Rattus norvegicus: one gene and its partner. The protein of the gene in region 1 binds, or shares a complex with, the protein of each later gene. Links are inferred from orthologs where the notes say so. Each region holds a gene or a part of one and is shown in the gene's direction. Other genes may lie near its edges.

The links.
Region 2: the proteins of Ywhab (region 1) and Mlxipl are in contact, whole or in part, in a crystal structure (PDB 6YGJ), measured with the Homo sapiens proteins. The link is inferred for Rattus norvegicus from reciprocal best matches to the Homo sapiens genes YWHAB and MLXIPL. Residues at the interface, in NP_003395.1 of Homo sapiens: Gly55, Arg58, Ser59, Trp61, Arg62, Ser65, Ser66, Gln69, Lys70, Arg129, Val178, Tyr181, Glu182, Asn185, Leu218, Gln221, Leu222, Asp225, Asn226, Leu229, Trp230; in NP_116569.1 of Homo sapiens: Asp118, Ile120, Arg121, Asn124, Ala125, Trp127, Arg128, Ala129, Trp130, Tyr131, Ile132, Tyr134.

The regions. Positions count from the first base shown.
Region 1 is NC_086021.1:173,077,815-173,081,982, forward strand, and holds the start of Ywhab (14-3-3 protein beta/alpha), read left to right. Parts: upstream 1-1,256; 5' UTR 1,257-1,410; intron 1,411-4,168. UniProt on the Homo sapiens protein: Adapter protein implicated in the regulation of a large spectrum of both general and specialized signaling pathways. Binds to a large number of partners, usually by recognition of a phosphoserine or phosphothreonine motif.
Region 2 is NC_086030.1:27,193,141-27,196,788, reverse strand, and holds part of Mlxipl (carbohydrate-responsive element-binding protein), read left to right. Parts: intron 1-2,269; coding exon 2,270-2,471; intron 2,472-2,558; coding exon 2,559-2,639; intron 2,640-3,648. UniProt on the Homo sapiens protein: Binds DNA as a heterodimer with MLX/TCFL4 and activates transcription. Binds to the canonical E box sequence 5'-CACGTG-3'. Plays a role in transcriptional activation of glycolytic target genes. Involved in glucose-responsive gene regulation.

The DNA.
Region 1 (4,168 bases):
CTCCCCAGCATCACAGCAAGAGAAACCCTAAGATAGCAGCCATCTCAAACTGTTTATACATTCTGGAACAGTACGTTGGGAGAATAGAGAGTTATATAAACGAATTGGGGTGCTGATGATGGGTAAGGACAGAGCTCTAGTTGTCTCAGGAACTATTAAGTCTGAGCCATTAGCAACGGATTTCAGAGTAACAGACACAGAATGACATTGAAGAGACCGCTCCGCTCGGTACTTGATGGGGGTAAGGCCTGAGAGTCAAGTGGTGAATTTGAAGTCTATCATTAAGCTAAGTAAGGGTAAAGGAGAAAAGACAAAGGCCTGTTACTTTGTTCTTTTTTCTAGAGACTGTAAGCTTCAAGATACGTCTTGCTGTATTCTCTAGCATTCAGAAAGCTGCCAGACAGAATTTGTGGAAAATGGAGTGGTGGTAGAGGTATTTTGAAGGGCTATGCTTAAGGGTCAACTGGCTTGAGTGAAGTATTAATAAAAGTTAGGTAACAGTGAAAGTCGTTTGGGGATCCCAGGGTTCTGTCTTTGAGGCTTTCTCTTTGAAGGACACTTGGAAACCAGAGAATCTCAACGAAGAACTGATGTACACAGGTTTGGTTTTTTGGTTTTTTCTTTTTTTGTTTTTTTAAGACCTTGGGAATGTTCTGTTCCTGACACTTCACGAAGCTTCGTTGGTCTAGGAAAGGAACAGTAAGTACCTTTTAGGACTGAAAGATGAATTAGCTGAAAATGGAGGGCTGGCCATGTCTGTTCTCTTCAGTTACAAGCATTCCCTTAACGCACAGCTACTAAGACTGCTGGGCCCTCCGACCCCGTGAGAGTTATTTTCAGGGTTGGGTAGGAACAGACTACCCTAGCCTGGACCAAGACCGCTCCAGGCTTCCAAACTATCCCCTCCGGTAGCCTACCCAGTTCTCTCACAGCCCAGCCCCAGGGCGGCCACCTCGGCTCCGCCCTCTCTTCTTCCTCCTTTTCCTGCTCTCCCCCGCCCCACTTCCTTTCCCTACGTCCGCCCCCTCCTCGCTCCCACCCAGGCTCTGCGCCCTCCCACGACCGCTCCCTTTTGGTCCTCCTTGACTTCCCCTCCTCCTGGCTATCACCGCCCTTTTCAGGAGGACGGAGCAACCCCGTGCTTCATTCACCCAATGATGAGTCGACTTAGGGTGGGGCGGGACTTGGGCTAGAGCGGAAGTGGTGGCCGGAACGGAAGTGCAGCTGCCGCCGCCACCGCCGCCGCCGATTCCTGAGCCGGGTAGCCACTGCCGCTGCCGCCGCCACTGCATCTACTGTCGCCGCCACCGCCGCTGCCGCCAGCATCGCCTGAGGAGTGAGTCCGGGAAGGACGTAGTCGCTGCCCTTCGATCTTCCCGGAAGCGCCTTTGCTCCCTACAGTCCTCCGCGGTGAGTGCGGCGCGGCTCCCAGGGGCCCCAGCGCGAAGCCCCTTCTCGGGCGGCGGCTGCGGCCAGTCTCGCTGCCGCCCCTCCCCGCTTCCGGCCGGGCCTGCGTCTCCGCGGGAAGCCGGGGCTTCTCTCTTAGCGCTCCGTACGGGGTGCGGCCGGGCCTGCGTGTCTGGAGACCACTGGGCCGCGGACTCCCCTCGGCACCTCCTCTGCTCAGCGCCGCCCCTGCCTGCTCCCTTCAGGCCCGGAGCCATCCCTCTGGGCCTGTCAACCTTGTTCATTCTTTGTGACTTTCAAAAATTGAAATGTAGTCGAAGGCGGGCGAGTTCCCGAGCCGCGACGCCCCTGCCGCACTCCCCTGGATGAGTAAGGGTTTAACCTTGGCGACAGCTGGGGTGAATCCCTCTCCCCCTTTGCAGTAAAGCTGTTTCATCATCGCTGGTGTGGGAAACCCAGCTGGACCCGAGATCCCCTGACAGCAGGGTTGATGTTTGAATTAAGAAATGGGGGGAGAACAAAATAACAAGAAATGGATTTGTCTGAACCATTTACTGATTCAAACCGGAATTCCCAATGGGGTGGGGGAAGATCAGGCTGAGTATTGAGTCTTTCTCTTGATATTTGTCGTCATTTACTGCCAGAATCTCATGTGTCCGCGCCCCAAATTCATTCATCCATACGCGTTTTTTGTTTTTTTTCCATATATATATATATATATATATATATACACACACACACACACACACACACACACATAGAAATTTGTCTAGTAACCTCACTGAGGAAGGAGTAGGTGAGATGTGGACCCTTTTTTTTGCAAGATGAGTGCATCTGGGTCTGTTGCAAATGGAGAACTTGCATGCATCGAGGATTCCAAAGGTGGCAGCGTTGGTGAGAATTTGCTAACCTCTGTAAAAATGCATGGCTCGTGTCCTTGCGTTCAGTACATTTTCTCTGGTGAGACCAGATAGCATTCGACTCTTGATTTGACTTGCCTGGTGTGGGAGGTGGAATTTGGCAAGATGTTACAAATCTGTAAAATCCCGGGAGCCGATGCAGAAAGGTGCAGCACTTTAGAGAATATGGAAATTACATTTCTCACTGTATCTCAGGTGTCCCTGTGAGACCATCCAGACCTACAGTTTATAGGACTGAGCAGGTGCTTACTCAGCATCACACATCTAGCTTCTGCAAATTTATACAAATATTACTGGGTTCTTGGTGGATTTCTCTTGACCACCCTCCAGTGCATTCCATTTCTTTGGGTTGCCCAAGTCTCTTTTTTTTTTTTTTTTTTTTTTTAATTTAAAGATCTATGCCTTAGCATTAAATAGCTGGAGAACGCCGGTTTTTTTTTTCCTTCCCCACCCAAGTTAGAATTTTAAGCATGAGCTTAGAAAAGAAAAGCTGAAATCCTGTACCAAATGCTAAATGATTTTCTTAGCCTCTGCCTTCCAACTATAAGAAACCATTCACTCATCTTACAGATGAAGTCTTTATAAGAAATGAGGTGATTCGGCCTAAACCACACACCTACTTACAGATTGAATATCCTCTTTCATCGGTGGCAAGTATTTATGGACTGTCGTCCCCTGGAGTGTGGCTCCTACCCTGTTATCTTCCATTTCCCATCATGCAGTGCTTGGGTTATATTGAAGCCATTTTAGACTTGGAGATGTATGGATCAGGGAGGCAGCCTGTGTGGAAACCAGGCCGAGCACATTCCCTTGATGCTCACTCCCTAGGCAGAGTCCCCAGAGATTTGAGCTGCTGCAAAAAGTGCATTTTTCCCATTTGGCTGTGAATCCAAAAACAGCACTATGAGGTAAATGTGATTCAGTTCTTTTCTGTATTGTTTTCTAGCTGTGATCTTCAGGAGTTAATTCGTCTCTGCTTCTTAGCTCCCCTGTCTCCACTGTTGTCTCGAGACCTTCCGTAAACTGTGTGCTGAGTACAAGCCTTTGGTTTTGTTTTATTTTAATCCTTGACTTCAGTTTCTTATTTCTCCCTTTCTGATAAGATACAATCTTACTTTTTCCACTTGCTATGAAAAATAATCTATAATGTTACATGTAGTACATCCAGTATTTCTCCTCTGGACTGTACAAATGATATCTGTTTCCCTCATCCCCACCTCTTTTGTTGTGTAGCCCAGCCTAGGCTCAGACTCACCACTCAGTCTTCGCCCCTCTGCCTCTTGGGTGCTGAGCTTACAGATATGCCCCCAATTTCTAGGATACAGAAATTCTTAATACTAATAAAGTTAATAAACAAATTGAACGTGAATGGGTGTATCTCCTGTGATGTTTAAATATATGTGTATGTTGTATAATGCTTAAATAGCCTATCTCAGACTTGATCTTTTTTTATGGTGAAAATTAAGTTTTTTTCTAGCCCACTGAGAAATACAGAACAATGTTGTGTATAGTCAGGGTGAAGTGCATAACACAAGGGAATTTGTAACTTACATCCATTGATCAGCCTTTACCTTGTTTTTGACTGTACATATACACGAGTTCACATTCTGATTAGGAATAGTATATATGCCCTATAGCATAGAAACATATAGAAACTACCCGGGTGACTTAATCATTAGCTACCGAGGTATCGGCAGGTAACCAGCCCGTGATCACACTACTCACTACTCCCCACTTGTGTGCCACCTTCCTTGTGAGCACTGTAAGCATGAATTCAGTCCGCAGCCAATAAAAGGTAAGTACTATTGGCCTCATGCGTAGATGAGGAAACTGCAGTGCAG
Region 2 (3,648 bases), on another chromosome or scaffold:
AGTCGGAGCTCTTAACCACTGAGCCATCTCTCCAGCCCCGAGACCTCCTTGTCTTAAGAAAAGCAAGCAGGGGGCTGGAAAGATGGCTCAGTGGTTAAGAGCACTGAGTGCTCTCCCAGACGTCCTGAGTTCAAATCCCAGCAACCACATGGTGGCTCACAAACATCTGTAATGAGATCTGATGCCCTCTTCTGGTGTATCTGAAGACAGCTACAGCATACTCATGTATAATAAATAAGGAAATCTTTTTTTAAAAAATGAAAAAGAAAAGAAAGCAGGTAGTGGATTTCAAATTTCAGGGCAGCTCAGGAAGTTTGAGGCTAGCTTGGGAATCCTGTCTTCAAGAGCAAAACTTGGCTTGATGGTGCAGATCAGCAATGCTACCACAAAAGGAGGTAGAGGTAGTAGGATCACAGGTATCCTCTGGAAGCCAGGCCAGCCTGGGCTACATGAAACCCTACCTCAAAAAAAATTGAAGATTTGATGGTGTTCTTTTTTTTTTTAAGATTTATTTATTTATTGTATGTAAGTACACTGTCACTGTCTTCAGACACTGGATCCCATTACAAATGGTTGTGAGCCACCATGTGATTGCTGGGATTTGAACTTAGGACCTCTGGAAGAGCAGTCAGTGCTCTTAACCACTGAGCCATCTCTCCAGCCCTCCCCCCCCCCTTTTTAATCGTTTTTCTTCATGAACCTTGTGTAGCCCTGGCTGTCCTGGAACTCACTCTGTAGACCAGGCTGACTTCAAACTCTGAGATCCACCTGCCTCTGCCTCCTGAGTGCTGGGATTAAAGATTTACATGCTCTGACTGTTACTGCCACTGCTGCCACCACCACCACCTCCACCAATGCATGTTTTTAGTCCTAAAACTTGGAAGGCAGAGGCAGCTGGGTCTTTGTGAATTGAAGCCAGCCTGGTCAGCCTGGTCTACATAATGATTTCCTGACCAGCAAGTGTTATATAGTGAAACTCTTTATCAAAGAAAGAGAGAGAGAGAGAGAGAGAGAGAGCGAGCACGATGGAGTGATGGCTCAGCTGTTAAGAGCACTGTCTGCTCTTCCAAAGGTCCTGAGTTCAATTCCCAGCAACCACATGGTGACTCACAACCATCTGTAATGGGATCCGATGCCCTCTTCTGGTGTGTCTGAAGACAGAGACAGTGTACTTGTCATATAAAATAAATAAATAAAATCTTAAGAAAAAAAAGAGAGAGAAAGAAAGAAAAAGAAAAGCCGGGCTGGGGTTGGAGATTTAGCTCAGTGGTAGAGCGCTTGCCTAGCAAGCGCAAGGCCCTGGGTTCGGTCCCCAGCTCCGAAAAATAGAAAAAAGAAAAAGAAAAAAAAAAAAAAAAAAAAAAAAAAAAAAAAGAAAAGCCGGGCTGGAGAGATGGCTCAGTGGTTAAGAGCACTGACTGGGGGTTGGGGATTTTGCTCAGTGGTAGAGCGCTTGCCTAGCAAGCGCAAGGCCCTGGGTTCGGTCCCCAGCTCCGAAAAAAAAAGAAAAGGAAAAAAAAAAAGAGCACTGAGTTCAATTCCCAGCAACCACATGGTGGCTCACAACCATCTGTAATGAGATCTGATGCCCTCTTCTGGTGTGTATGAAGACAGCTACAGTGTACATGTATAAATAAAATAAATAAATCTTTAAAAAAAAAGAAAGCCGGGTTGGGGATTTAGCTCAGTGGTAGAGCGCTTGCCTAGCAAGCGCAAGGCCCTGGGTTCGGTCCTCAGCTCTGACAAAAAAAAAAAAAAAAAAAAAAAGAAAAGAAAAGAAAAGAAAGAAAGAAAGAAAAAGAAAATTGAAAAAAAAGAGAGGGCTGGAGAGGTGGCTCAGTGGTTAAGGGCACCCGACTGCTCTTCCAGAGGTCCTGAGTTCAAATCCCAGCAACCACATGGTGGCTCACAACCATCTGTAAAGAGATCCGATTCCCTCTTCTCGTGTATCTGAAGACCGCTACAGTGTACTTATATATAATAAATGAATAAATAAATCTTTAAAAAAAAAGAGAGAGAAAGAAAAAAAGAAAAGCCAGACTATAATAACATAGAGAATAAGAAAGACTTTTGAGGGTCTTCCTCTGCTTCATAAAGGGAGTCATTAGAGGCCAATAGGATGACCTTGGCACCTTGGCCTTCTAGACAGAGAACCAGGAAAAGACAGGTGGTGTCTTTAGAGAGACTTTCTAGCTGGGGTGGGGGAACCTTCATCTCCAGGCAAGGGGTAACATGGATGACCAGGGCGGTGACTTCTCTGTCCTGCCAGGTGGAAGGTGGGTGGCCGCCACCAGAGAGATGGTGCGAACAGCTCTTCTCCAGCGTGGTGCCTGTGCTGCTTGGGGGCTCCGAGGAGGAGCCTGGGGGCCGGCAGCTTCTCGACTTGGACTGCTTCTTGTCCGATATCTCCGACACACTCTTCACCATGACACAGCCCAGCCCCTCGTCCCTGCAGCTGCCCTCAGAAGACGGTGAGCAGTGAATTGGGGGGAGCAGGGGGGAGAAGACTGAAATGTCTTCCCAGCCTGCAGTTTCCAACCTCACCACTGTCCCTCCAGCTTATGTTGGCAATGCTGACATGATCCAGCCAGACCTGACGCCGCTGCAGCCCAGCCTGGATGACTTCATGGAGATATCAGGTGGGATGGGTCCTTCCTCCCCAGGTAGGGCAGACTCAAAAGAAGGGGTCAGGTTAGGAAAAAACTCTAGGAGACTGTAAGGCTTTATGCCAGTGGGAGAATGAATGGTACTTTAACTTGAGATGGAGGGGGAGCGGGTTAGTTGGAATTCAAGGCCTTGTGCCTAGAAGGCAGGTGCTCTACCACTGAGCCACGCCCCCAGCCCCTCACTGGGGGATTCTAGGCAGGGGCTCTACCACTGAGCCACACCCCCAGCCCCTCACTGGGGGATTCTAGTCAGGGGCTCTACCACTGAACCACGCCCCCAGCCCCTCACTGGGGGATTCTAGGCAGGGTCTCTACCACTGAGCCATGCCCCCAACCCCTCACTGGGGGATTCTAGTCAGGGGCTCTACCACTGAGCCACACCCCCAGCCCCTCACTGGGGGATTCTAGTCAGGGGCTCTACCACTGAGCCACACCCCCAGCTCCTTCCTCACTGGGGGATTCTAGGTGGGTGCTCTACCACACATCCTTTTTGGTCTGGGATGAGAGAATCCTTGGGTTCAATCCCAAACACTTCGTAAGCCACTGTGACTGACAAGAGAATTCAAGGTGTCGAACCTCTTGTCTATTTTTGAGACGGGGTCTCAGTATATAGTTCTGGAACTCACTGTGTAGACCAGGCTGGCCTCAAACTCACAGAGATTTGCCTCCTTTTGTCTCCCAAATGCCAGAATTAAAGGCATGCATAATACACCCAGTTTAGCTTCAAGGGTTTTTTGTTGTTGGTGGTGTTTTGTTTTGTTTTGTTTTTTTAAGTGTTTTGCAAAGTGGCAGGTTTTCTCAGACTTCTCTTTTCTTGGGTTACTGAGTTTCTGATGTGTCCGGGTGTTTCCAGATACCCTGACCCGGTCAGTATGAATCCTTTTCTCTCTCTCTCTCTCTCTCTCTCTCTCTCTCCCCTCCCTCTCTCTCTCTCTCTCTCTCTCTCTCTCTCTCTCTCTCTCTCTCTCCCCTTTCATTTCTT